4 linked regions of the Saccharomyces cerevisiae S288C genome follow. The protein of the gene in region 3 interacts with the protein of the main gene of each other region in a biochemical or structural test. Each region holds a gene or a part of one and is shown on either strand. Other genes may lie near its edges. The genes, in order: SUP35, YDJ1, HSP104 and TOM70.

Region 1 (7,459 bases), on a different chromosome or scaffold from region 3:
ACAGACATATCAAAGGTTCACGACTAAAATACCAAAATTCATACGAACCCTTTCAATACCTACATACTGACATATTTGGTCCAGTTCACAACCTACCAAAGAGTGCACCATCCTATTTCATCTCATTTACTGATGAGACAACAAAATTCCGTTGGGTTTATCCATTACACGACCGTCGCGAGGACTCTATCCTCGATGTTTTTACTACGATACTAGCTTTTATTAAAAACCAGTTTCAGGCCAGTGTCTTGGTTATACAAATGGACCGTGGTTCTGAGTATACTAACAGAACTCTCCATAAATTCCTTGAAAAAAATGGTATAACTCCATGCTATACAACCACAGCGAATTCCCGAGCACATGGAGTCGCTGAACGGCTGAACCGTACCTTATTAGATGACTGCCGTACTCAACTGCAATGTAGTGGTTTACCGAACCATTTATGGTTCTCTGCAATCGAATTTTCTACTATTGTGAGAAATTCACTAGCTTCACCTAAAAGCAAAAAATCTCAAAATTCCCAATATTCACATAGTCTAAAGTACCGATAGCAACCAACATATATAAACAGTAGTATTTTACGAAGCTGAATTGCAAGATTAGTGAGAGGAGAATAACCGGATAATTTTTTTGGATTACGTTATTGTTAAAGGCTATAATATTAGGTGAAACAGAATGTCCTAGAAGTTTTTTTCTTTCATGTTAAATTTATTGATTCTTGCGCTTCAGCTTTTATAAAACATAAGAACTGTTTCTTCACGTTAACTTCTTGTGCCACATATAATGATGTACTAGTAATATGGGTACTATTTGGCAGATGATATTTGATTTTTATTCAAGACGGTTACTGTTTCTACGATTGATATTTTCATTCCTGGATATCATCTTGCCAGATCACTTACAATTTAGGCCGCGCCTGAATTGAAGAGTACTTCAATACGTAGTGTACTGTCCAAACTCTCTTCCAAATTTTTAATATTTAGCTGGGGTTGGGTAACAAGTGAGCAAGGGAAAAAGTGAACATTTTAAGAAGAACAATAAAATAGCAAGAGATGGAATGGTAATGCTTGGCTCTCGAGAAGAGTAGCATAAAACGAGACTTGTTTAAAACAGGATATGACATACTTCAATTCAGCTTTCCCTATCAGCCGCTCGAGCAGTTATATAGGTGTGTTGCCGGAGTAATTTGGCGGAGGCCAACAGTGGCTAGGCGGCAACGCCTGGAACACGCGCTTAAAAGTTCTGGAAGGTTCGCGAATTGAGAACTGCTCAGGGGCGAATACAGGGGCGGCCTTGGCGGCAGGGGGGAGGCCTCTGTGAAGTTAGTTATATAAGACTTGCTGTCATCGTTTTTTTGATCCCGGCAGGAACTATCTTTTATTCTCATACATACGGTCAAGAAGTATAATTATACATAACATAGGGACACGTTCAGGCAATTGTCCATATCCCACACAAATTAAGATCATACCAAGCCGAAGCAATGAGTTTTTATCAACCATCCCTATCTCTTTATGACGTTTTGAACGCATTATCCAACCAAACTGGCCAGAGAGGGCAGCAAGGATATCCTCGCCAACCACAAAGGCCACAGAGATACCATCCCCATTATGGACAAGTGCACGTTGGCGGGCATCATCCTCGTCATCATCCATTGTATAGCAGATACAATGGTGTTCCTAATACCTATTACTACCAGTTCCCTGGACAAGCCTATTACTATAGTCCTGAATACGGTTATGATGACGAGGATGGTGAAGAAGAGGACCAAGACGAAGATATGGTGGGTGACAGCGGCACTACAAGACAGGAAGATGGTGGCGAGGACAGCAACTCGAGAAGATATCCATCATATTACCATTGTAATACTGCCAGGAATAATAGGACCAACCAACAGGCAAACAGTTTAAACGACTTATTAACCGCGTTAATAGGTGTTCCACCATATGAAGGCACTGAACCAGAAATTGAAGCAAATACCGAACAGGAGGGCGAAAAGGGAGAAGAAAAGGATAAGAAGGATAAGTCTGAAGCACCCAAAGAGGAAGCTGGCGAAACCAACAAAGAAAAACCTTTGAATCAGCTGGAGGAATCGTCGAGACCACCATTAGCCAAAAAATCTTCATCGTTCGCTCACCTACAAGCGCCTTCCCCAATACCTGACCCGTTACAAGTATCCAAGCCTGAAACGAGAATGGACTTACCATTTTCACCAGAAGTGAATGTCTATGATACCGAGGACACTTACGTAGTTGTTCTTGCGTTACCAGGTGCTAACTCTAGGGCTTTCCACATTGATTACCATCCATCTTCTCATGAGATGCTCATCAAGGGTAAGATCGAAGACAGAGTGGGCATTGATGAAAAATTCTTGAAGATCACGGAACTAAAATATGGTGCGTTTGAGAGAACCGTTAAATTCCCCGTGCTGCCACGCATTAAGGACGAAGAAATTAAAGCTACTTACAACAACGGTCTACTACAAATTAAGGTGCCTAAAATTGTCAATGACACTGAAAAGCCGAAGCCAAAAAAGAGGATCGCCATTGAGGAAATACCCGACGAAGAATTGGAGTTTGAAGAAAATCCCAACCCTACGGTAGAAAATTGAATATCGTATCTGTTTATACACACATACATACATTTATATTTATAATAAGCGTTAAAATTTCGGCAGAATATCTGTCAACCACACAAAAATCATACAACGAATGGTATATGCTTCATTTCTTTGTTTCGCATTAGCTGCGCTATTTGACTCAAATTATTATTTTTTACTAAGACGACGCGTCACAGTGTTCGAGTCTGTGTCATTTCTTTTGTAATTCTCTTAAACCACTTCATAAAGTTGTGAAGTTCATAGCAAAATTCTTCCGCAAAAAGATGAATCTTAGTTCTCAGCCCACCAAAAGAGGTACATGCTAAGATCATACAGAAGTTATTGTCACTTCTTACCTTGCTCTTAAATGTACATTACAACCGGGTATTATATCTTACATCATCGTATAATATGATCTTTCTTTATGGAGAAAATTTTTTTTTCACTCGACCAAAGCTCCCATTGCTTCTGAAGAGTGTAGTGTATATTGGTACATCTTCTCTTGAAAGACTCCATTGTACTGTAACAAAAAGCGGTTTCTTCATCGACTTGCTCGGAATAACATCTATATCTGCCCACTAGCAACAATGTCGGATTCAAACCAAGGCAACAATCAGCAAAACTACCAGCAATACAGCCAGAACGGTAACCAACAACAAGGTAACAACAGATACCAAGGTTATCAAGCTTACAATGCTCAAGCCCAACCTGCAGGTGGGTACTACCAAAATTACCAAGGTTATTCTGGGTACCAACAAGGTGGCTATCAACAGTACAATCCCGACGCCGGTTACCAGCAACAGTATAATCCTCAAGGAGGCTATCAACAGTACAATCCTCAAGGCGGTTATCAGCAGCAATTCAATCCACAAGGTGGCCGTGGAAATTACAAAAACTTCAACTACAATAACAATTTGCAAGGATATCAAGCTGGTTTCCAACCACAGTCTCAAGGTATGTCTTTGAACGACTTTCAAAAGCAACAAAAGCAGGCCGCTCCCAAACCAAAGAAGACTTTGAAGCTTGTCTCCAGTTCCGGTATCAAGTTGGCCAATGCTACCAAGAAGGTTGGCACAAAACCTGCCGAATCTGATAAGAAAGAGGAAGAGAAGTCTGCTGAAACCAAAGAACCAACTAAAGAGCCAACAAAGGTCGAAGAACCAGTTAAAAAGGAGGAGAAACCAGTCCAGACTGAAGAAAAGACGGAGGAAAAATCGGAACTTCCAAAGGTAGAAGACCTTAAAATCTCTGAATCAACACATAATACCAACAATGCCAATGTTACCAGTGCTGATGCCTTGATCAAGGAACAGGAAGAAGAAGTGGATGACGAAGTTGTTAACGATATGTTTGGTGGTAAAGATCACGTTTCTTTAATTTTCATGGGTCATGTTGATGCCGGTAAATCTACTATGGGTGGTAATCTACTATACTTGACTGGCTCTGTGGATAAGAGAACTATTGAGAAATATGAAAGAGAAGCCAAGGATGCAGGCAGACAAGGTTGGTACTTGTCATGGGTCATGGATACCAACAAAGAAGAAAGAAATGATGGTAAGACTATCGAAGTTGGTAAGGCCTACTTTGAAACTGAAAAAAGGCGTTATACCATATTGGATGCTCCTGGTCATAAAATGTACGTTTCCGAGATGATCGGTGGTGCTTCTCAAGCTGATGTTGGTGTTTTGGTCATTTCCGCCAGAAAGGGTGAGTACGAAACCGGTTTTGAGAGAGGTGGTCAAACTCGTGAACACGCCCTATTGGCCAAGACCCAAGGTGTTAATAAGATGGTTGTCGTCGTAAATAAGATGGATGACCCAACCGTTAACTGGTCTAAGGAACGTTACGACCAATGTGTGAGTAATGTCAGCAATTTCTTGAGAGCAATTGGTTACAACATTAAGACAGACGTTGTATTTATGCCAGTATCCGGCTACAGTGGTGCAAATTTGAAAGATCACGTAGATCCAAAAGAATGCCCATGGTACACCGGCCCAACTCTGTTAGAATATCTGGATACAATGAACCACGTCGACCGTCACATCAATGCTCCATTCATGTTGCCTATTGCCGCTAAGATGAAGGATCTAGGTACCATCGTTGAAGGTAAAATTGAATCCGGTCATATCAAAAAGGGTCAATCCACCCTACTGATGCCTAACAAAACCGCTGTGGAAATTCAAAATATTTACAACGAAACTGAAAATGAAGTTGATATGGCTATGTGTGGTGAGCAAGTTAAACTAAGAATCAAAGGTGTTGAAGAAGAAGACATTTCACCAGGTTTTGTACTAACATCGCCAAAGAACCCTATCAAGAGTGTTACCAAGTTTGTAGCTCAAATTGCTATTGTAGAATTAAAATCTATCATAGCAGCCGGTTTTTCATGTGTTATGCATGTTCATACAGCAATTGAAGAGGTACATATTGTTAAGTTATTGCACAAATTAGAAAAGGGTACCAACCGTAAGTCAAAGAAACCACCTGCTTTTGCTAAGAAGGGTATGAAGGTCATCGCTGTTTTAGAAACTGAAGCTCCAGTTTGTGTGGAAACTTACCAAGATTACCCTCAATTAGGTAGATTCACTTTGAGAGATCAAGGTACCACAATAGCAATTGGTAAAATTGTTAAAATTGCCGAGTAAATTTCTTGCAAACATAAGTAAATGCAAACACAATAATACCGATCATAAAGCATTTTCTTCTATATTAAAAAACAAGGTTTAATAAAGCTGTTATATATATATATATATATATAGACGTATAATTAGTTTAGTTCTTTTTGTACCATATACCATAAACAAGGTAAACTTCACCTCTCAATATATCTAGAATTTCATAAAAATATCTAGCAAGGTTTCAACTCCTTCAATCACGTTTTCATCATAACCCTTCCCCGGCGTTATTTCAGAATGTGCAAAATCTATTAGTGACATGGAACTCAAAGAACCAGTTGTTTTTTTGTCCTTTGGTCCTTCGCTGCTTCCCTCGGCATCATCATCATCATCATCATCATTATCATCATCGTCGTCATCATCGTCTATAAAATCATCTCGCATAAGTTTGTCAACATCATTTAGTAATTCCCATCGCTCCGGGTCTCCTTCGTAAATAAACAAAAGACTACTTGATATCATTCTAACTTCTTCTTCTAGCATAGTATTATAAAACAACTGCAATCTTTTCAAAAATGTTTTCTTCAGTTGATGCTTTCTCGCATCCGACAGATGAGGATTGTTAAAATAAAGTTCAATTGCATCTGAAACATTTTGATCGGTTCTTGAACGACCATACAATTTGTTTATAAAGATATAATCACTGTCTGCTTCTTCTTCGTAATATTCGAGCGAAAGCTGATTCAGCACAGAGGGATTTTTCTGTATTTTCATGCCACATATCCTGAAACCCAAAGATCCTGAAGTCGTCGTCTCACTGACTCTTTTCATTCTCTCTCTTTTTTCCAATGATGCCTTCGAATCATACAAAGTTTTGCCTAATTTTATATCAAGTATATTAGGTTTACTAAATCCATATAGTAGATTTTCTAAAACGAGGTATTGCTTGGACTTCTCAGACTTTACAGGTATTGAATCAAGATTATCAGTGGAATCACTTAACCGCTCATCTATCTTCAGAAGCGCAGCATCGCCACTTTGCTCGATTTTTGCCCCTTCATTCAAGACTCCAAGATACGTGGGCATCCAAGAGCACAAGGGAGCATCTCCATCAGCCGAAGACTTTCTTCGACTCACATCTCTCACTTGTATGGCTTTGTAGAATTCCAGTTCCTGCGGAAAGGCCGGTTTAAAGATGAGCAATCCATCACCGTCTGTTAGAGTACCGTCGTGGCCAGCAGCTTTATGCTCTAAAACCCTATAATTGTTTACCGTATCCATGTGAAAAAAATTTCTACTTAGGCACACGTATGCACATATCCATGTAAGCTACTAATGGAAATTGTTTAACTGATTACTGGTAAAAAAGGGATCTCCAATGGCTTTATCTTATTCCATTTTGTCCCACCATTTGTATACAGTATAAAGACATTTTGGTGAGATACTTAGTTACCCAGCCTACTTCTGAGAAATATTACCCGACTCGATTATCTACCAATTGGCTTCGAGAACGTGGTTTTTCACCATTTTTTTTCCCGCTTTTTTTTTTCATCCGACCGTTGTGGCGGAGAGAAGCTTCCGGAAGGGAATTCACTCAGATTCTCTCCAGTACCACGGGGGGCAACTCTGCCTGGAACACTCTCTTCCTTCAAGAACTTAGCAAGAAGTACCAATTAGTCCCAGCGGGCCCTCAGGGCTGGTCTACTGCCTTATACTCTAGGATGTACATCCTACCACACACAACAAGCCTGTCACACCATGACTACAGATCCTTCTGTCAAATTGAAGTCCGCCAAAGACTCCCTCGTCTCCTCCCTCTTCGAGTTATCAAAAGCTGCTAATCAGACAGCCTCCTCTATTGTTGATTTCTACAATGCCATCGGCGACGATGAAGAAGAGAAGATAGAGGCTTTCACCACTTTGACTGAGTCTTTGCAAACATTGACTTCTGGTGTAAACCACTTGCACGGCATCAGCTCGGAGCTGGTTAACCCTATTGATGATGATAAAGATGCTATTATCGCTGCTCCAGTCAAGGCTGTAAGAAGAAAGATCGAACGTGATCCAAATGCTCCAAAGAAGCCACTGACTGTTTTCTTTGCTTACTCTGCGTACGTTCGTCAAGAACTTCGTGAAGACAGACAAAAGGCTGGCTTGCCACCTTTATCCTCAACTGAGATTACTCAAGAAATCTCCAAGAAATGGAAGGAATTGAGTGATAACGAAAAAGAAAAATGGAAGCAGG
Region 2 (6,721 bases), on a different chromosome or scaffold from region 3:
CAATTAGCTTTGTGCCCACTGAGTGCGGTTGCTAAATGTCTTATAGTCCCAAAGGATGCAAAAATCTGGTGTAGTATTCGCCCTTTGGGAGTGGCCTTAAACCCATATACGACTCTTGCTTTCCCATTCGAGTCATATTTCAAACCAATAGACCAAATACGGCTGAGATATGAATCTTCTTTAATGCGCCTCTCCACGTAATTAAACTGTTCAACGTCTCCAATCTCATAAAAGAAGGAGTCTGTCTTCGGCAGCCAATAATTTACTAGATTTATATAGCATTCAAGCTCACCCACTAGCGCTAGCCTTGGTTCGAACAGCTTTACGGAAGTTTTAACATCTCTATTGAAGTCACGCTTTCGAATGTAGGGGGGGTTACCGGTTAATATATCTATATGGGATGGATATTCATCGCTAGCTTTTGAGGACAATATATTATGTTGCACGAGCTTACCACCACTCACCTTGTTTTTCAGCATATTTTCTTTAACCAACTTAATTGCTCTTGTTGACACGTCAATGGCAGTGAACGTGCAATTTGCTATACCATGACTCAAAGCGAGAGCAATACACCCTGTTCCTGTAAACGTATCACAAATATGCAGTGGTATAGTATGCCTTGAAAGCATAGAGTTGTTTAGAGCTCTTATTATGGCCATCACCCATTCCTCGGTTTCCCATCTTGGTATAAGAACACCAGGCTTGCAAACTATGTCCAAGGCCCCAAACGGTTGCGATCTTAAGATGTACTGCAATGGGACGTGTTTGTATCTCTGTAAGCAAGCCCAGCGGATTGATTTATCCGGAGGCAGCTCTTCGGTGAGCCATTTGTACTCGAGTTTCGCTTGCTCGAGAGTCCTACATTCTGGAAGCAAAAGATGCAAACCAGGTCGTATTCTCGAAGCTTTTCTTATCAATGATGTAGATATTCGAGGCATATGTTCTTTCTAACCGTTTCTTTTTCGTTCCTACCATTCAACTATCGCTCCTTGTCTACGAGTTAAGGGGAAGAGAGTGCAGAGTTTCTAAAAGCACTTGAAAACGTAACAAGACATTGACCGTAGAGAGTCGGCAAAATAAAGTCGTTTATACACGTTTGAGTTGTGTGTATTCAACTATGGAATACATTGTTATAATGAGTATGTTGGTATAAAATAAGATGTGAAGTCGCTGGTTTGAGCACGTGATATACACCTGACCTATAATATTTCGTACAAAATTATAGAAGGCCATCGAAAAAATAGAAAATTTTTTCATTTCTTTTTCAAGAAATGAAAAGGCAATAGAGCATCGGCAGGTATGGAAAGTATTTAACTTGCAGATCAATCCACGTACTTATAAAACGTGTAAAAACTTGCTCTACGTTTATATGTTGGTTAGGTAGTTCTTGTTTGATAAGGTGTGTAGTTCGTTTTTATAAATCAAAGTCACAAAAAGTCCTTTTCCCCATATATATTAGGCCCGAACAAGCGTCTTATTTGATAACTGTTACGTATTTATTTTTTTGTTATTTGTTACCATATCTTTTGATAGAACATAATTAAAAATTATCCAAACTGAATTCTACATCTTCCAACAACAATAATAAACGTCCAAAGATGGTTAAAGAAACTAAGTTTTACGATATTCTAGGTGTTCCAGTAACTGCCACTGATGTCGAAATTAAGAAAGCTTATAGAAAATGCGCCTTAAAATACCATCCAGATAAGAATCCAAGTGAGGAAGCTGCAGAAAAGTTCAAAGAAGCTTCAGCAGCCTATGAAATTTTATCAGATCCTGAAAAGAGAGATATATATGACCAATTTGGTGAAGATGGTCTAAGTGGTGCTGGTGGCGCTGGCGGATTCCCAGGTGGTGGATTCGGTTTTGGTGACGATATCTTTTCCCAATTCTTTGGTGCTGGTGGCGCACAAAGACCAAGAGGTCCCCAAAGAGGTAAAGATATCAAGCATGAAATTTCTGCCTCACTTGAAGAATTATATAAGGGTAGGACAGCTAAGTTAGCCCTTAACAAACAGATCCTATGTAAAGAATGTGAAGGTCGTGGTGGTAAGAAAGGCGCCGTCAAGAAGTGTACCAGCTGTAATGGTCAAGGTATTAAATTTGTAACAAGACAAATGGGTCCAATGATCCAAAGATTCCAAACAGAGTGTGATGTCTGTCACGGTACTGGTGATATCATTGATCCTAAGGATCGTTGTAAATCTTGTAACGGTAAGAAAGTTGAAAACGAAAGGAAGATCCTAGAAGTCCATGTCGAACCAGGTATGAAAGATGGTCAAAGAATCGTTTTCAAAGGTGAAGCTGACCAAGCCCCAGATGTCATTCCAGGTGATGTTGTCTTCATAGTTTCTGAGAGACCACACAAGAGCTTCAAGAGAGATGGTGATGATTTAGTATATGAGGCTGAAATTGATCTATTGACTGCTATCGCTGGTGGTGAATTTGCATTGGAACATGTTTCTGGTGATTGGTTAAAGGTCGGTATTGTTCCAGGTGAAGTTATTGCCCCAGGTATGCGTAAGGTCATCGAAGGTAAAGGTATGCCAATTCCAAAATACGGTGGCTATGGTAATTTAATCATCAAATTTACTATCAAGTTCCCAGAAAACCATTTCACATCAGAAGAAAACTTGAAGAAGTTAGAAGAAATTTTGCCTCCAAGAATTGTCCCAGCCATTCCAAAGAAAGCTACTGTGGACGAATGTGTACTCGCAGACTTTGACCCAGCCAAATACAACAGAACACGGGCCTCCAGGGGTGGTGCAAACTATGATTCCGATGAAGAAGAACAAGGTGGCGAAGGTGTTCAATGTGCATCTCAATGATTTTCTTGATAAAAAAAGATCAACTTATTCACGATTCATTTATTCATCATACTTTTCACTTCAAAATACAGTTTTGTAGCTATACATATGTAAAGTAATAATGGTAGAAAATGCAGTTTACCAAAAAAAGTTCTAATTATGACGAAATCTTAAGGAAAGAGTAAAGCAGGGATTATATGCTGAAATTTCCACTGTATATATTTGCCACAGAAAACCATTTTTTGTATTAGGTATATTTAGTGCACCTTTAACATGTCAATAATTCAACGGAAAATTAACGAAGTAAATAATACATTAATTAGGAAAAATTTACATGAAAGTCTATAAGCTGTTTATAAAAAAAATATGCAGGGATAAGTGTCTATCAAATTGAAGAATGCCAATTAATTATGATTATCGTTCTGGTCTCTTTTTGTTCCCTTTTTGGCTTTGACTGCCAAGGTGTTTAACCAAGACTGTCTTTGTTGTTTCAATAATCTATCCTCCCTCCACTTCATACCATATTTCATCGGAATAAACATTAAGAAGTTGAAGAAAAATACCAGCGCACATAAAAATGTAAAAGTACCACCTACAGTCATCGCAGCTTTCATTTTGGCAAAGCAACCCATGAAGATGGTACTCAAACTGCACCTAACAAAGTTGAAACAACTACTTGCTGTAGATGATTTCGTTGGGTACAAATCGACCAATAACGTAGTTGATGTTGATAATGTACTCATAGCACAGTATGAACAGACAAATGAAGTAATTAAAATAGATTCGATCCTCCAGCCCTTATCTATACTCCAACCAAATAAAAGATAGGCTACGACGGCCAAGAAATTTTGGGGCAGAAGACAAACTAAACGGACTTTGAACATATTAATCTCTGCGTCTTGTGGAATCAACCCGTTAGCTTTGTCTTGCTCGAATTTCTTGATCTTTCTCTTGAAATACATGTCAATAATTCTACCTGTGAAGAAGGAACCCATTAAACCGCCAATACCACCGGGTAGATAACACACACCAATAATGACCAAATGATAGTTGTATGGCGCCACTGATAAACCGGATGAAATAGAGGAAAGCATTAACGTCCACATAGCAAATAAGAGCCCTGATGGAAATAAAGACAGAATAATTTCTGGCAATACAAGGATCTTCCCGGCGGATGACAAATCTAGTTTCGGAATGGTGGGATCTAATGTCTCATAATCAGGATTATCGTACTTGAATCTCCTTCTAACTGGGCCCAGTAGGAAAATCGGCGCTCTGTTGATGAATCTTTTAGGCTTAATGGAAAGGTTACCTGCAATGGTTCGCTTTGTTTCTGGCAAAATAAGAAAGGCAATTAGAAAACAACTTCCACAACCAATGGTCAAAAACCAAAAGATAGCTCTCCAATCCCACCTTGCAGTCAGGACGGCACCAATAAGACTACCAAAACATTGACCCAGTAAAACAAACCCTGAGGTGGCGCCAACAAATGTACCTCTTTCATGCTTCAAAGTGAAGTCCCCGACAACACCAGAACTGATTGCAATTGTGGGGGAAATACCAATACTCTGAATACACCTCAAGAAGATAATAACACCGTATGATGGAGCACATGCTAGCCCGATGGATGCAATAACGTATATCAGCATACCTGCTAAAATTATAGGTCTCCGTCCAAAGCAATCCGCCAGACCACCGCTAACTGTGGGAGATATACCTTGAAACAACAGATACACAACCACAGTAACGTTAACCATATTTTCATCCACATTAAATTGCTTTTCCAACTGCCTCAAAGCGGGATAATAGATCGGTGATCCCAATGAAGACCAAAAGCCACACATTGTTAGAATTGCAACCATTCCCCACTTCTGACCGTAACTTAGTAAAGTATATGGCGCTTTTGTCTCTGCAGTTATCTGTTGGGTTGGATCAACTTTATCATCACTGGAGTGAGAAGAAGTCTCAGAGTCTAAATCGCCTTCTATTTCCCTTGTGGTAGTCTTGGATAGAGTCCCGTGACTGTTGATATAAGCGCCTTCGAAATTTAGTTTTTCACTTTTCGTTTGACCATCTGGTTTTGTGTATTCTCTCGTCAGATGCTGCTCATTGTGAGTAGGATACATCTCAATATCTTCTGTGTATATACTGTTACTTCGTGACATTGCTGATTCGACTTTCTGAATCTAGCTTGGATTCTCAAAAAAATAAATTTATCTCCGTATAAATGCTAACTTTGTAAGCCTGGAAAAATCCATAATTTTATATAGAACGACAATATTAGCAATAAAAAGTTAGTAAAAAGTGTATAACCTTGACAGTGTTAAGCGTTATATAATATTGAGTATGATCAACTGTATCCTCGATGAGGGCAGAGAAGTTTCTTTTTCCTTGCCCTAAGGTGCCCGCAACTTCCCGGTGACGAGAAAAAGAAACGTTGGAACGGCTTCTCGTCTGAAGAAAACAATGCAGGCCGGGCATTTCACGGAACAAAAACGGTTCCATCAAGCCGGGTGATTCATAAATTATCCGATACCGGAACAAATCGGTGAGAGATTTTCCGATGGAGGACGGGTAACGAGCCGGTATTTACCGATCTATGGAGTTTCCGAGTCATTACGGGTCCTTTTGTTTTCGTGTATGCTCCCTTCCCCGTAAGAAGTATACGTAGGAAGTGCGGTCTGCGCTGGACAGTATAAAACGGAAACAGGAGTCATCGAGGGGCTCCGGATTTTTTTTTCTTTTTTTAGCATTTAGCCTAATTGCACATTGTGAATAGATTGCCGTAGTAGAAAAAAGCCTTAGGAGTAGATAGCATACGGCAACAGAACTACAAAAAAAAAAAAAAGAGATTTGATGTCTTTTTTTTTTTTTTGGGTGGTTTTTAGGACAATGAAAGAAGAGGTGTGCGATGTATGTAGGTTTTCAAATGTCTTTAATATTACAAAATAATTTATGTCTGGAAGAATGATAAATAGAAACAAAGTAAAAAAAAATTGATATTAATCCGGCGTGGGTTTTAGTGTATGTTAAACAGACAATAAAATGGACGGGCAGAAAAGAATGGGGTAATAATACAATCAACTTACTCAACTGTTGATGCGCCTAAGTTTAGTTGTATAGAACAAACTTAGCTTTGCCAGCAGTAACGGAAACGGTACAACCGTCAGAGCCACCGCTGAAGCTACCGTTTTCATAGATACATTCACCGTTGACTGTAGAAGAGTCATCAGCGGCGACAATTTTGACATTGAAATTCAATGCGTTACCGTTGTTTGGGTTGGGAATCAAAGAAAGGTAGGCGACACCATCAGAAGAACCAGCGCCAAAGTTCAATGGAGCCCAATTACCGACGCCTGAACTTGAAGAACCCCAAACACAAGCATCTTCGACAGAAATACCGGCATTGTTAACGTAGTATTGCGCGGATGTCTTCAATCCTTGCCAAGTGTAGTAGGTGTCCTGATCAACGACAGTCAAGGGTAAAGAGTCACCTGCTTGCACATATGTAGGAATCACCATGTTTTCGGTACCCGGGTAATCGGTCCTGCAGATAGCAACATCGTTGCTCAATTCAGAGACGACGTAAGCGGCATCAACGCCCCATTCGCATAAATAGTCAGTATCTGTATTTGAACGGTACAGGTAGCCGTCCTTACATAGCAAACCACCAATGGATCTGCCGTCAGATGGTTGGTCAGAAGGCCATTGTGTCTTGGACATACCTGGTTGGCAAGCGTATGAGCAGTAAGACCCTTCTTTACAAGAGCCACCCGTAGAAGTGTCAGTATTTTCAACACCAGACCAGCCACCTTCATCTAACCAGCTGATGGGGATAACACCTTGACCAGATGGAAATTGGCCGCAAGGAATGGTACCGTCTTCAAATTTTTCATATGGACCTGAAAAGTCAG
Region 3 (8,337 bases):
TGCAAAATTTCAAAAATCAAGAATTTATTGCGTTTGCATCAAAAAACGTAAAAAAATATCTCCGATTAGTTTTTATTACCCACATATTGTACTAAATAATCTCACTCGGTAACAAATACTTTGTATTGTCTTTGATAGGGATAAGTGTTGTCAATTGCCACAGAGGCGGTATGTGACGTGAATATATGCGATAGATAGTTATGATACTAATTTGTCAACAGTTTTTTGTATTTTGAATTTCAAAGTGCACAAACTGAGGATTCTCAGCCTTCCTACGGCATAATCCTTTATAATTATTGTTTTAGCATATATCTGTATCAGGGTCTTTTGGCCTATGCTTTATGAATTGCATACCATTAGTTGTAATTTTTTTTCTGTTTCAAACAGGTAAAGAGGGTGAAAGCCATATATGAATGGGGGACAGATGAACCGCTTGCTGATCTTACTAAGTAATTGTTTAATAAGTGGTAGAATTGGGCACAGGTGTTTGACTGTAGTAAAGTTGGTGGCACGATATGGCCTCCAAATATGCGCGAGTTTTAAAAAATCAGGACATTCATTGTTCAGTAGTACGCTAAAACTTGTAGAACTCTAAGAAATAAACCATTATTCTACTGTGATCTTTAGAATCAAGAACAAAGATGGACAGCCTAAGCTAGTGCTTTGGGTCCAAAAAAAGAAAATAAAGGGGCGAGCTGGGAATTGAACCCAGGGCCTCTCGCATGCTTTGTCTTCCTGTTTAGTCAGGAAGTCGCCCAAAGCGAGAATCATACCACTAGACCACACGCCCTTATTAACTTGTGAACTTGATCCATTATGAACAATCTAGTACTGGGGGTTCGTGGGAATTTTAATCAGGATTGATAATGTAAATGGATAAAGAAACATATAAAAGGAGTACTAATCGTAATATTATTATGTAGAAATAACAGTTCTCTTTTTGTAATTCTTATATCTGTTGGAATAAAAATCCACTATCGTCTATCAACTAATAGTTATAACTATCACTATATTATCATATACGGTGTTAGATGATGACATAGGTTATGAGAAGCTGTCATCGAGGTTAGAGGAAGCTGTAGTGAAAGGATTGATAATGTAATAAGATAATGAAACATATAAAACGGAATGAGGGATAATCGTAATATTAGTATATAGAAATATTGATTCCATTATGAGGATTCGTAGATCCTCGAGGAGAACATCTAGTATATTCTGTATACCTAATATTATAGCCCTTATTAACAATGGAATCCCAACAATTACCTCAAAATTCACCCATTTCTCAATATCCTCGAGAAGAAATTTTAATATATTGTGCTGTGTTCTTAATATCATATGACCTCTGCAACAATAGAAATTCTAACAATCATCTTAATGGATTACATCGTTGGAAATCATCGCTGTTCGAATTTTCTATCATTCAATTTTCCAAGCGCATGGAAAAATGTTCGCTGTAACATTATATTGGCACAAGTGATTATTAATATTACATGAACTGCTATGGTAAAAATTTAAACGTGCAGTTCAGATAGTACTGAAGTCTAAGTTAAAGATATACTAATTTTAACATGATTTGGTAGTCATATATATGAGTCATATGAGTCGCTACATTCAAATGTACAGTAACTATCAAAACCATTATTGTAGTACCCGTATTCTAATAATGGACCAATCCGCGTGTGTTTTATACTTCTAATATGAAAGTAAAGAGGTCCAGATTTAACCTTCACTTATTACTTCCTTTAAACTTTAGTTATCAACGCCATATGTCCCAAATACAATAAAAAAAGATTTGACGTCCAGTGGACTTTTTTGTCCATTGTTTACTTTTAGATTATTCACAGCAAGATGAACTAAACGTTAAAATGTGAGCTCTTTTGCTCGGGTGTCAAGTTCAATTAAACAAATTCCATTAGTTTTATTAATTATATATATTATATTACTGATTCTTGTTCGAAAGTTTTTAAAAATCACACTATATTAAATTAATCTAGGTCATCATCAATTTCCATACTGTCCTCATTATCGTCATCACCTAACGTGTCAGCCCCTATAGTAGCTTCGTGATTTGGTAGAACTTCCAGACATTCTTCAGCTTCCTCAGGAACATTTTCATCACGAGATTTACCCTTCTTCAAGACGACATTGACAGTTTCCTTATCCTTGATTTCATTCTTTAAGATCCTTAGTGCCAGTTTGTTCAAAATTTCGTTTTGAATTAACCTGTTCAGTGGACGTGCACCCATATCATCGGAATAACCATATTTGGCCAAGAAGTCCTTGGCCTCTTGAGTTAAATTCAACTTGTAATGTTTATCATTTTGCTCGAATCTCTCTTCAATTTCCTTCAAACGAATATCCACGATCTTATGAATAGCTTTTCTAGATAGCTTGTTGAAAATGACTATACTAGAAATTCTGTTCAAAAATTCTGGTCTGAAATGTTGCCTAACAGCACCCATGACCAAATTCTTGGTAGATTCTTGGATCTTTGATCCTTGTTGAGAATTGATAAATTCAGCACCTAGATTGGAAGTCATGATGACAATACAATTGGAACAGTCGATCGTCTTACCTTGACCAGAAGTAATTCTACCGTCATCCAACATTTGTAGCATGACAGTCAAAACATCAGGATGTGCCTTTTCTACTTCATCGAATAACAAAACGGAGTATGGTTTGTATTGCAGTTGGTTAGTTAAAAAGCCACCTTCATCGTACCCGACATAACCTGCCGTGGTACCCAACAACTTAGAGACCGCATACTTCTCGCTTAATTCAGAACAATCGACCCTGATCATCATGTCCTCATCATTAAACAAAAATCCAGCAACTTTTTTAGCCAATTCAGTTTTACCGGAACCGGACAAACCTAAAAATAAGAAGGATGCTGGTTGCCTTGGATTAGCTAAACCTGATCTAGACAATCTAACGGCATTGGAAACAGCTTTAATGGCATCCATTTGGCCCACGACTTCAGATGATAAGTCACGTTCCATATGAATCAATTTTTCATTTTCAGATTCTGACAACTTCTTAACAGGGATACCAGTCAATCTTGCAGCTGTTTCAGAAATGGTGTCTGAATCGACCACATTTTGGATCATGGAGTTGGCACCAGCACGTCTCTCTTCCTCAGCAACCTGATCTTCAAGCTTTTCGATTTGCTTTTTGATATCTGGGATGGCGAAGTACCTTAAATCAGCGGCGGTAGCAGTATCATATCTACGTTCAGCATCAAGGGCCTTGTTTTCCAGTTCATCCAATTTCTTTTTAGCTTGTGTCAATTCTTCATGGCCATGCTTTTCTTCATTGTAACGTTGTCTTAGAGGTTCCAATTCTTCTTGCAATGAAGCTTCCTTCTGCCTAGCTAACTTTAATCTATCTTTAGTGGTGGAGTCGGCATCTTCATCTCTCTCTAGAGCTTTTATCTCTACTTGAATCAATTGCAATTGACGTTCCTTGGAATCCAATTCTTCTGGCTTAGAATCTCTTGCGACGGCGACACCAGCACAAGAAATATCAACTAAATCCAAAGCAGAATCTGGCAATCTTCTATATGGCAAGTAACGCTTGGCTAATTGAGCAGCAGTGACTAAGGCGCTATCCAGAATCCTTACACCATGATGTATTTCATACTTTGGTTGCAGACCTCTCAATATGGCCACTGTTTGTCTCACACTTGGTTCAGCGACTTCAATTTTCTGGAATCTTCTTTCAAAGGCACCATCCTTTTCCACAATAGATCTATATTCGTTATTGGTGGTGGCACCGATGACCTTCAATTGGCCTCTGGACAAAGCTGGCTTCAAGATGTTAGCAGCGTCGTCCTTACCATTACCCATTAACATGTGAATTTCATCAATGAATAACACAATTAGAGTCTTTGATTCTTCGATTTCCTTCAAAACACCTTTGAATCTTTCTTCGAAATCACCTTTGTATTTAGCACCTGCGGTTAATGCGGCCAAATCTAGACTGAACAATTTAGCGCCTTGTAAGATAGTGGGAACGTCATCGTCAATGATTCTTTGAGCAACACCTTCAATAATAGCGGTCTTACCGATACCTGGCTCACCAATTAAACATGGGTTGGACTTAATTCTTCTTGCTAAAACTCTAATAGTGCTTCTTATTTCTTCTTCACGGCCGATGACAGGGTCAAGTTTACCTTGACGAGCCTGCTCAGTCATATCAATGGCGTACTTTGATAAATATTCCAAAGGTGTGTTCGTATCAGCGCCACGAGAGTCAATTCTAGTGTTACCACGAAGTTCAAGAGCTTGTTGCTTGATGGCCTCAATATCTACTTGAGCTTCCTTAAATATTTGCTGAATAGACGAATCATTGAATAGAGCAAACAATATATGGTCTTGCGCTATAAATGAGTCCTTCTGTTGTTTTTGAATCTTAGCAGCGTCTTGAAGGACTTTCCCCAAAGCATAACTTGGAGTTATCTCCGCAGGTGCAGGTTGCTGTTGAGGAATTCTTACTAGATTTCTATTAACCACTTTCTTGAAAAGATCATAGTCGTAACGGCCCTTCTCAATTAGATTCTGTAGGTAAGGGACTGATCCATCTTCTGGCGTTTCAATGAAGGCAGCTAGAATATGTATAGGTTGTAATTGTGGATGTTGATGATCCGAAGCCAATTTTTGAGCCAACGTCAAAATCGTTAGAGCCCTTTCTGTAAATTGCGTTTGGTCGTTCATATATTCTGTATATTTTATGGTACGTGTAGTTGATTTCTTTTTTCTTTGTTATTGCTGATTCGATTCAAGGGTAAAAAGGAACAAGTGACAAAGGAACGAATTATGAAGGAATTGAGGCAAGATTACAATGCCTTATATAATAATCTGGCAGGTTGCATAAGTTTGCGCCCCTTTGCCTTTTACTGTGATATAATTTGCAGTTCTTTGAGATGGGCCCCCTGTTGAAAATTGAACAAAAAAATCGCGGCCCCTTATGGAACGTTTAAGATTGTAATTAATAACCCTTCTAGAAAATTCTGGAAAAATATATATCTACAAGAACAACGAAAGAAAAGTTAGGAACAGCAAACACTACCACGATGGAGGGTTCAATGTTAATATGTATGATAAATATGTAAATAAATAAGTAAATGAATAAATAAGTGAATAGGTAGATTCTTTTTTTCTAAAAATGGTGCAGAAGGTTTTTAAACCATGAAACTCTCGCCACAACCGCATGTGCCCTTGGAGTTTGGATTCTTGAAGACAAACTTAGAGGCCAACTTGTCGTCGATCCAGTCCATTTCACTTCCAATGATGCTGAATAACGCCTTTGAATCGATGACAATTTTAACGCCATCTTGTTCTACTACCTCATCGAATTTCCCCGGCTCGGTGATATATTGTAGATCGTACGTTAGTCCTGAACATCCACGGTTTCTAGCGCTAACTCTAATCAATTTAGGTTCCGGCTGAGCTAGCAGTGCCCTTAAATGCTTGATTGCCTTCGGACTCAGGGTGATCAGCGCCTTTCTTGGTCTCAATTTCCTCTTTCTTTTCTTGGGAGGTTCTGTGCAAGAGCAGTCATTCTTGGATACTGCAGCAGCTATTTGCTCGTCTATAGCTTTATTCTGCTTCTTGATGGCCTCCTCATGAGATTTGATGGTCTCACGCGAAGGGAATGCGTAGCTCGACCACTTCGGGCTTTTAGAAGCCTTGCTACTCTTGCTCTGATTGGAAACTATGAATTTGAAGGGCTTCTTACCTGGACGTTGACTATCTGGAGAGACAGAGTCTGCAGCTGCGGGCACTGTCTTCGGTATGAATTTTAATTTGAAAGGATTTACGTTGTTGATTGTGCGAGACATTGTGCCATTCGTACCGCCTCGCCAAAATCCTCCAGTTGAAAGGAATCTGTGTGCCAGCAGTACTGAATTCCTGCTTCTTCCTGTGTTTATCATTATGTTACGTTATTGTTCCGATCGTTTGTTATACTACCAAATCAAAAAAATCTAAAATGGTCTTTCGTACGAGTGCAAAAATGGTGGCCAAATGTATAAATAAATAAATAAGACGAGTAAAATAATGTCAATAAATAACAGTTTCTTAGTAATTCTAAAGGATTTACAAATATTTGCAAAATTCCATTACTCTTCCTTGCTTTCCTGTCCTCTTTCCCTTTCCTTTATGAATTAAAAGCATCTCAATCTCTTTCCTTTATTCCGTTGAAATTCCCTGTCAATTTTAATCCAAAATAAAGAAGTCATTAAACGGGCATTTACCGGGTGACTGTTATCTGACCAATGAAATCTGAGGGTATGACTAATAAGCCCCCGCCCGAGTTTCGGCCAAGGGTACGGACAACGCCGAGAACCGGCGATGAGAAGAACAATAGCTTTTATCTATTTCTTATTAGAGAGGGATTATTAATCATTAATTAGTGTTTTATTTAGTAACTATGGGCTATACATAACAACCACATAAGAGGAGTCTTGGAGGAAAAAAATGGGAAAAAAAAAAATAGTAGAAAAAAAAGGGGATATCACTACTCTCTAAGTACTCTTGTGCTTGTGCATAGAAAAAGATTTCCTTTGTTCTGTAGTTGTGTGTCTTTTTTGATTGTTTTTTTTTTTTTTTTTAATTTTTTTTTGTAATTTCTTTATATGTCAGCTTTACGCTGCACAGTGTCTATAATGCTATGTCGTTATCGAGCCCTTTGAGCGTGGGGCAGGGTGAGTAATAACAATGAAATAAAAAAATGCAAATATAGAAAGAGCATGATTTCTGCTTTTCTTTTTCTTAAGCGGCGTAAGCATACTTGGATTTCTTTCTGATAGATTCACCATATTTTAAGAATAGTAAAGGCACGGGAATCATCGCAGCGGCAAATAGACCTAATAACAAACCAGCCCAACCGATACCCATGCCACGGAACATATATCCTGCAAACAATGGGAAGCATGCACCAAATGCAGACCTCATGAAAGTGTTTGCTGCGACGGCAGAAGCTGCCAACAATAGATACGATTCAATGATATAGTTTAAACATGGCAAGAAAATACCCATTAAACCGAACCCGATGAAGGCCCCTCCTACTGTGGGGACCATCCAATGAATCTTGTGAGGATAGTAGCCCGTCCAACAGAACCATAAGATACCAATAGGGAAAACGGTACCTGCAATGACCATTGCGTACAATCTGGCCTCGGGCACTAATTTCCCCTTGGCTCTACATCTTTTCAAATAATCGTTGTCCATATACCAAATGAAAGCAGCACACACCATCATACCGATAATCAAGGCGATGTATGGCAACTCACCGTTTTCAGTAAACCCATAACCCTCCACAAAGACAAGTGGGTAGGCTTCCAGTAACAAATACAAGATACCGTAGACAAAAGAGTTGTAAATAGTCACGAATAGTAGCAATGGTTCCACGAAAAGCATAATGATAGGCCTCGTCACAGTTTTTTGGACAATGTCTTTGATGGATAGCTCCACGTCTTCATGAGCAGCATGAATACCCCAGTTATTACTTTGCTTTCTCATCTGTTTGGCCTTGTTAACCAAAATGGTAGGGTGATGTGTTTCTTCAAAGAACAATACGATGGCAACGAAAACTGCGGAAGCGAAACAACCGACAACATATTCTAACCATCTCCAGGTAGTTCTTTGTGCGATATAAGAACCCATGACAGGCGATAAAATGGGGCCTACAAAAACACCTAGAGAAAATAGCGCAATGGCTTTACCTCTAACATTAGTATCAAACATGTCGGCAAACGCGGCGGGGACGACGGCCATGGGTGCTGCCCCGATAAAACCACCAAAGAATCTACATATGAAAATAGTTTGCAGGTTCTCAGCAGTAGCGACAGCAAATTGGAAAAGGGCAAATCCAAACGCAGATAAAACCAGAACACCCTTTCTACCGTACAATTCAGAAAGAGGAGCATAGATAACCGGTGAGGCCGCAAACCCAAGAACAAAAAGCGTGATACCCAAAATGGCGACAACTTCGATGACGTGGTATATCTCGCAGATTTGCGGCACTGCAGAGGCAAAAATGGAAGAACACATAGCAATGGCAATAGAATCCAGACATAAGACCAGACATAGCAGCACTTTCTTCTTCATGGGCCAGTTAAATGGATGTAGTGGGTCGTTAGGACCATCAAAAGTAACCTCGTACAGGTCTCTGCTCGGCAACGATGGAGGGTAAGGTCTGTCACCACCCATGGGCGCACAATTGGTATAATCAACCTCTACACGGTCAGGCTCGTTAACAGACCCAGTAAGGATTTTAGTTAATCTTCTCGTGATATTAACCTCTGATTCTGCAGCAGAATTCATAGTCGTCGTT
Region 4 (7,589 bases), on a different chromosome or scaffold from region 3:
GCTAAATAAATAAATAAATACATAACCATTGGAATAGCGAAGCCTTTGACATTTCATTATTCCTCCCCATCGGAATTAATCTCGAACTGATCCAATATTTGGCTCAATTCTTTGTTTTTATTGGTCGCATTTGCCGTAATATCCATGGTATCGACTTTTGGCCAAACCAAATTCTTATCCTTGATACTGGTATTCAATAAGATTAAACAACCATAACACAATTTGACATCACCGTCTTCAACATCGAGGCTATTACTGGCACCCTGTTTGATTTCATTCAACAATTCAACATAATGTGTGTGAGATTGCCCTAATTTTGAATCTTGCCACTGTTTAAATAAATACTTTTCTTCAGTGGTCTCCACAGGATAAGGCGAAGTAACTGTGATCCTATTTAACCAATTGGATGGATTTGTGTATATTTTAGATTGACATATTTGACATTGTGACGGCTTAGCCATACTTGATTTAGGTTGCGTCAATTTATCTGCGGTTCTTAAAACTGTCGATATTATATTTGAATAATCGTTCTGAATATCCTGAAAGTATTTGTTGGTAATTTCGTTGATTGTCATATTTTTTACCAATTTTTGTTGACCAAGTGACGGCAGTGATTTTCTGGCGATCAAGCAATTAGGCTTCACATTAGTTTCTTCAACGTTAATGAGGAACTGTGCCAGATTTCTGATTTGTAAAAAACTTTCAATCTCGACGGATAATAGATCTTTCATAGGATATAGGTTTTTATACTTACATGGTTTATTATTCAAAGTATCAAATGATTCCGAGTCTAGAAACGTCGCTATTTGAGAACCTTTACCTTTTACCACAAGAGAAATAATTACTTCAGATAGCTTTGTCATGGAATGTCCCCACATTATGGCATTATAACCATTTTCGTATGCAAAATGCTTGATCAATTGAGTTTTTATAATCGATATTAAATCAGACCTGGATGAATTATTGAGACAGTATTTGCCTAATATTTCTTTTAATGTTAATATATTGCTATCATCTACTGACTTTGACTTGCTGAAAATCTCAAAATTTTCATTGTCAATGATAAAAGTCGATACTTCCGATGCATTGTTGAAAAATTCGTTAACATCAATAAAATGGACATTAAATATGTTGGATATTTTATTCAGTTGTGACATTTTTTCATTAATCAAGGATTCCATACGTTCTTTGATAACAGAAACATTTTCCTCGGTGAATACCGTGAGTACATCGACGGTAAAGCCTGTACGATTATTGTGTTGCTTAGTTTGTTCCAATAGCAAGTCGTGCACAATATCTAACATAACCAGAGATCCTGAATCAGAATGTGATAAGGGGAGCAGAATCTTAGAGACGGATCCTTCTTTTTCAAATGGGTATATAACTTTAAATAGGTTCCTGAAATATTCATCCTTCATCATTTGTTTCCTTTGTTTAGTACTAACAAACTTGATGAAACATTCATCGCAAAACTTTTCCTTTCTAGACTCAACTGTCGCTGGATTTCTGGCAGATGCAGGGCACCTCTGGCACTCCATAACTTGATAGAATTATATTTTTAAAACTAGGATAGGGATGGACAATAGCAAATACAGAAACCGAAGTTAATTTTATGCTCGTCTCACTCATCTCATCGGTACTATAACAGTTTTTCACTGCGTAACTGAAAAAAACTCCATAATACGTAGATAATGATGATGTAATTAAGTCAACTATTCAAAAATAATAAAGATGACTTTATTGAAAGAAACACTGTGCAGGCAACTTCAAATGTTTCCATAAGGTTCAACAGTGTTATATCATTTCAGAAACAAACATTCAAGGATTAAGTGGAAGGAAAGAAAGAGTTTCATTGCCATTAGTTTAAAATATACAATATCACTGTATACGATGAATAAGATGGCGTTAAACCACCTTTTGTGTTTGGACGACCAGTGGAAAAGATCTTAAAGGAATTAAGAGGAACTCCACCACTCACCATAAAAGAGAAGCAAGATTCGGAAGTGAAATTACAGCTCACATCTAGGTTCTCAATTGCCAATGAAGAGCTTCATTACAAGGAACAAGACAGCCATTTTGGCAACCGTTGCTGCTACAGGTACTGCCATCGGTGCCTACTATTATTACAACCAATTGCAACAACAACAACAACGAGGAAAAAAGAACACGATCAACAAAGATGAAAAAAAGGACACAAAGGACTCTCAAAAGGAGACTGAAGGTGCTAAGAAATCTACAGCCCCATCAAATCCTCCTATCTACCCGGTTTCTAGTAATGGCGAACCAGATTTTTCCAATAAGGCAAATTTCACCGCTGAAGAAAAGGATAAATATGCATTAGCGTTAAAGGACAAAGGTAACCAGTTCTTTAGAAATAAAAAATATGACGATGCTATTAAGTACTATAATTGGGCATTAGAATTGAAAGAAGACCCAGTTTTCTACTCGAATTTATCGGCTTGCTATGTTTCTGTGGGTGACTTGAAAAAAGTTGTTGAAATGAGTACTAAGGCTCTTGAATTAAAACCAGACTACTCAAAAGTTTTACTGAGAAGAGCTTCTGCTAACGAAGGGCTAGGAAAATTTGCGGATGCGATGTTCGATTTGTCTGTATTGTCTCTAAATGGTGACTTCAATGACGCCTCTATTGAACCAATGTTGGAGAGGAACTTGAATAAGCAAGCTATGTCTAAATTGAAAGAAAAGTTTGGCGATATTGACACCGCTACTGCTACTCCAACTGAATTATCCACCCAACCAGCTAAAGAACGCAAAGACAAGCAGGAAAACTTGCCTTCAGTTACATCCATGGCCTCTTTCTTTGGTATTTTCAAACCCGAGTTGACTTTTGCCAATTATGATGAATCCAATGAAGCTGATAAAGAGTTAATGAACGGTTTAAGTAATTTGTACAAAAGATCTCCCGAAAGTTACGACAAGGCTGATGAGTCTTTCACGAAAGCTGCAAGGTTATTTGAAGAACAATTGGACAAGAACAATGAGGATGAAAAGTTAAAGGAAAAATTGGCCATCTCATTAGAACACACAGGTATTTTCAAGTTCTTGAAAAACGATCCATTGGGAGCTCACGAAGACATCAAGAAAGCTATTGAATTGTTCCCAAGAGTCAATTCATATATCTACATGGCATTAATCATGGCTGATAGAAATGACTCGACTGAATATTATAACTACTTCGATAAAGCGCTGAAACTGGACTCAAACAATTCTTCTGTTTACTATCACCGCGGCCAAATGAATTTCATTTTACAAAACTATGATCAAGCAGGAAAAGATTTTGATAAAGCTAAGGAATTAGACCCAGAGAATATCTTCCCTTATATTCAATTAGCATGTCTAGCGTACCGTGAAAACAAGTTTGATGACTGTGAAACTTTGTTTAGTGAAGCTAAGAGAAAATTTCCAGAGGCACCAGAAGTTCCAAATTTCTTTGCTGAAATTTTAACAGACAAGAACGATTTTGACAAGGCTTTGAAGCAGTACGATTTGGCTATTGAATTAGAAAACAAGTTGGATGGTATTTATGTTGGAATTGCGCCTTTGGTCGGTAAAGCCACTTTGTTGACAAGAAATCCAACAGTAGAAAATTTTATTGAAGCCACGAATTTATTAGAAAAAGCGTCCAAACTAGACCCAAGAAGTGAGCAAGCTAAAATCGGTTTAGCTCAAATGAAATTGCAGCAGGAAGATATCGATGAAGCTATTACATTATTCGAAGAATCCGCTGATTTGGCTAGAACTATGGAAGAGAAATTACAAGCCATTACTTTTGCTGAAGCCGCTAAAGTTCAACAAAGAATTAGGTCTGATCCAGTATTGGCTAAAAAGATTCAAGAAACTTTAGCTAAATTACGCGAACAGGGTTTAATGTAAACAGTAAACATAAACTTAAAAACTTTTAGGAGAAGACAAAAACTAAGTAACAAAGTAGACTAAATGACAAAGGAAGAGCAGCAATGACATTGACATCTCACTTTGAAAATTTTTGTTTTCATTTTTGTTTCAATATACACGTATGCATGTTCTAATATATATATATATATCTTTTTCTTTTTCTCTTTCATTCTGTAAATAATTAGCAGTGCGTATAAACCACAACCAATTTTTTCAACCTTGAAGCCCTCGCCAATTTGCGGAGCCTAAAAAAATCTGGTCAAATACAAAAAAGATAGTATATATATCTATCATGAAAATTAGCTTGCATAACAAACGGCAACGAGGAGACCAAAACCAAAACATGTCTGTTTTCAATGTACTCAAACCACTACTTAAAGGTTCAAATAGTTTCAAAGTGAAGCTCAACGGCTTTCTATTCAATAACGTTTCTACAATAACAATAAGAACTTTAATGAAAACTCATAAAGGTACAGCAAAGAGGTGGAGGCGTACCGGTAATACTTTTAAAAGAGGCATAGCTGGAAGAAAACATGGCAATATAGGCTGGTCCCATAGATCATTAAAAGCCTTAACCGGAAGGAAAATTGCCCATCCAGCTTATTCAAAGCATCTAAAGCGGTTATTACCCTATCATTGAAGGTGGAATAATTATGTTCTCCTCTAAACCAAACGCACCGTTAACCCCAAATCAATTGTTTGAGTATTTGCTTTCGGTCTTCATGTATATAAATAAGTATGAAACAATAACCATAAATTTATACAATCGATAATACCTTAGAGAATTCAAGCGTTGAAGTAATTAAATACTATTTCGTCAGGCGCTTGCAACCATCTCGACATCATAATCCTAACCCCTCAAAATGATTGAAAAACTTGTAAATCTTAACGCTCCTGTGATAGTCTATAAAAAAACTGTTCTTTATGGAAGACTTTGATGTATACATACATACATACATATATAAATGTTTTATCAAATCTGGCCTATTTTTCACTTTGGCTGTTGCCGGTAAATTCCTTTTCAATCCATTTGTGCGTGATGTTGTCCCTCTTCAATTCTGCAGTAGGGAAGTAATGATAATTCGTTTTCAGTGAAATAGCGAAGGGCACATTGTCGAAAGTCATTAACCTCATTTTACAATAACTATTATCAGGGATTGTTTTGACAACTTTCAAAAATGTATCTAGATCAGGTGTTTCAATTTCATTGACATGAGTTATGAAGTTTGTGGCAGATATACCGTACTGGAGCGCCGGTGACGATTCTCCCCTGAATGTACAGTAGACACCCTTTGGAACATCAACCATAGCTTGCAAAACAGCATGATGCGGCTTTTGTAAGATACTACCTGCAAATATTACAAAACGGTCGGTTTCCTGAACTTCCACGGTTTTAATTTTCAAATCAACAATATTACCATCACGAACAACTTTAAAATCTAACATGGCTGATGGCAAAATACCATCAGCTGAGCTTACAACTCCATTCAAATCATTCATTTCAGTGACTAATTTTCCGTTCACAGATAAAATGACGTCACCGGTCTCTAAATGAATCTTGTCTTCTGTATAAGAAACTCTAGAAACAGTGATAAACTGTAGCCTGTTATTTGATTCATGTTCCATACGCATGATCCATTCTTCGGGCACACCTCTAATTCTGGCTTGCAGAACGGAAATTGAACCGAACCCAGCATCAACTATACTTACTCTTGGTTTACCGCCATTTTTTAAGATATCTATAACTTCCCTACAGTCCATTATATCTAATCCCATCAAATAAACCTTTTCTTTATTTTCTAATCTTTCGCCTAAAAATGGAAGCCATAAACCTCTTACTGTACCATCATTATCTGTCAAAATACCGGAATTACATCTGGTGCTAACGTTGCAGTCGATAGATATAGCTTCTAAATTAGTGGCACGGTACCTCGGAATTAAATTACTTGGAATACTTACAGAGGAAATATCGGTGACAGTGGTCTCTGAAGTAACAATTCTATCATTCTGGGTAAAACCTATAAACTGAAGCTTATCACCACGTTTCATTCTGGTGGTAGATAGCTTGGGAGTGATTAGTGGAGCCTTTACTAACTCTGGATCATATTTAACAATAGCGAAGTTGTGAGTTGGATGGAGAAATTCTACTGTGGCTGGAACTACAAGGGAATCTGCAATGGTGACAAAAGTATCAAGACAATCATGTGGAACTACCCTTCTGGACACTAGGACATAACCTTTTTCAGCATCAATGATTAAGCCTGATGTTTTTAAAATATCAGCAGAAAGTGAATCCAATGGAACTGCTGCCATTGTAGCCACTGTACATAACGATGATGACAATTTTGCAACTTTTTCATTATTAACAGGAATAGGAATAATTTTGGCCGAACGAGGTTTCAACGCATCGGCTGGAAGTGGATCAGCAACATTTTTGTAATCCCAAATACCAGTTGTATCGTTCCTTGTGTAAACTCTGAATTCATTGCACCAATGACGGTCAATGTAAATAGAAGTAACAAGTGGAGAATGCTGATCTGTTAGATGGTGGTATCGTACAGTAACGCGCTTACGATCTGGAATAGTTTTCATAATTTCAATAAATGTATCTAAGTCGGGGGTTTCCTTATTGTCTATAGAATCCACAATCCAACCCACTCTTTCTTTTGAATCAAAGTTGAAAGACCCTGATGCACTACTTAAAAATACACCCCTGACAGGTAGCGCATAAAACCTTGCCATTTGATATGATAATTCATGAAAAGTCGCACCACAAACCTCTACATAACGATGAGGGGTGATAGCATGTAAATCACCAACAGTGCAGGTGACAGTACATTCGACACCGCCCCTTTGAATAACCAATTGGATTTCCTTCCCAACATTTTCATCTTGAATTTTATCCACTTGCATGAAAGAAGATATGGTTTCACCGTTTATTGAAATTAGAGTATCACCTTCTTTAATTTTATCATAGCCTGGGCCTTCTCTTAAAACGGTTTCTGCTACCAACAGTCCGATATTTTCGGGAAATTTAGCACGAGCCTCACTTTCTCTCTCTGAAGTTAAACCTAATCTTCTACACTCGTCATAAGGCTTCAGCAGCCATTGAACTTGAATCGTACCACGTGTGATAGGTTTGTTGGTTTGGATGCAAATTAACGCTCTAAGAATTCTATCTAACGGTAAAAAAAAATCAGTAGATGCCTCTGTAGAGCCACCTGCCTGTAAAGCCACAGCATACCCATCTATATTTACGACTGGAGAACCACTTGAACCGCCAGAAGCAGATGCAGCAGCTTGAATATATTCTGTATTGAAGTCATTGTATGTCAGCTCACCATATTCTGGAGCGTTCCTGTCAATTCTACTAATAAAACCTGCTAGGATACTTAATTTCTCACCGGCATCATTACCGACAACTCTAATTTCTGAGCCGACCTTAGCCAAACTTGGTTTTAGCGTTAACGCTTTGATCTTAGAATATTTTATGTTTTTCGGATCGAATTTGAGGAACCCAAAATCATGAACAGGATCTCTGTAAATTGGTATAACATCGCATTCTTCATGATTATCGAAAACTACGTAGCCTACGAACGGACCAGGACCAACGACGTGCCTATTGGTCAGAATTATACCTAATTTAGCATCCACGACAAATCCGGTAGCTTCAG

Evidence for each region.
Region 1: the proteins of HSP104 (region 3) and SUP35 form a complex in vitro, tested with the Saccharomyces cerevisiae proteins (7 studies listed by BioGRID, with this or other methods).
Region 2: the proteins of HSP104 (region 3) and YDJ1 form a complex in vitro, tested with the Saccharomyces cerevisiae proteins (2 studies listed by BioGRID).
Region 4: the proteins of HSP104 (region 3) and TOM70 form a complex in vitro, tested with the Saccharomyces cerevisiae proteins (one study listed by BioGRID).

The regions. Positions count from the first base shown.
Region 1 is NC_001136.10:805,138-812,596, forward strand, and holds SUP35 (translation termination factor GTPase eRF3), read left to right. Parts: upstream 1-3,186; coding exon 3,187-5,244; downstream 5,245-7,459. Other genes in the region: heat shock protein HSP42, read left to right, coding at 1,484-2,611; ARG82 (inositol polyphosphate multikinase), read right to left, coding at 5,428-6,495; HMO1 (Hmo1p), read left to right, coding at 6,973-7,459. UniProt on the Saccharomyces cerevisiae protein: GTPase component of the eRF1-eRF3-GTP ternary complex, a ternary complex that mediates translation termination in response to the termination codons UAA, UAG and UGA.
Region 2 is NC_001146.8:501,975-508,695, reverse strand, and holds YDJ1 (type I HSP40 co-chaperone YDJ1), read left to right. Parts: upstream 1-1,598; coding exon 1,599-2,828; downstream 2,829-6,721. Other genes in the region: MTQ1 (S-adenosylmethionine-dependent methyltransferase), read right to left, coding at 1-938; AQR1 (Aqr1p), read right to left, coding at 3,212-4,972; putative glucosidase SUN4, read right to left, coding at 5,919-6,721. UniProt on the Saccharomyces cerevisiae protein: Probably involved in mitochondrial protein import. Is also required for efficient translocation of pre-pro-alpha-factor. Involved in heme regulation of HAP1, as a component of the high-molecular-weight (HMC) complex.
Region 3 is NC_001144.5:85,001-93,337, reverse strand, and holds HSP104 (chaperone ATPase HSP104), read right to left. Parts: upstream 4,716-8,337; coding exon 1,989-4,715; downstream 1-1,988. Other genes in the region: Fe-binding Fe/S cluster assembly protein ISA1, read right to left, coding at 5,183-5,935; polyamine transporter TPO1, read right to left, coding at 6,774-8,337. UniProt on the Saccharomyces cerevisiae protein: Required, in concert with Hsp40 (YDJ1) and Hsp70 (SSA1) and small Hsps (HSP26), for the dissociation, resolubilization and refolding of aggregates of damaged proteins after heat or other environmental stresses.
Region 4 is NC_001146.8:394,989-402,577, reverse strand, and holds TOM70 (protein channel TOM70), read left to right. Parts: upstream 1-2,040; coding exon 2,041-3,894; downstream 3,895-7,589. Other genes in the region: NCS2 (Ncs2p), read right to left, coding at 57-1,538; mitochondrial 54S ribosomal protein bL35m MRP35, read left to right, coding at 4,208-4,555; NMA111 (Nma111p), read right to left, coding at 4,900-7,589. UniProt on the Saccharomyces cerevisiae protein: Component of the TOM (translocase of outer membrane) receptor complex responsible for the recognition and translocation of cytosolically synthesized mitochondrial preproteins.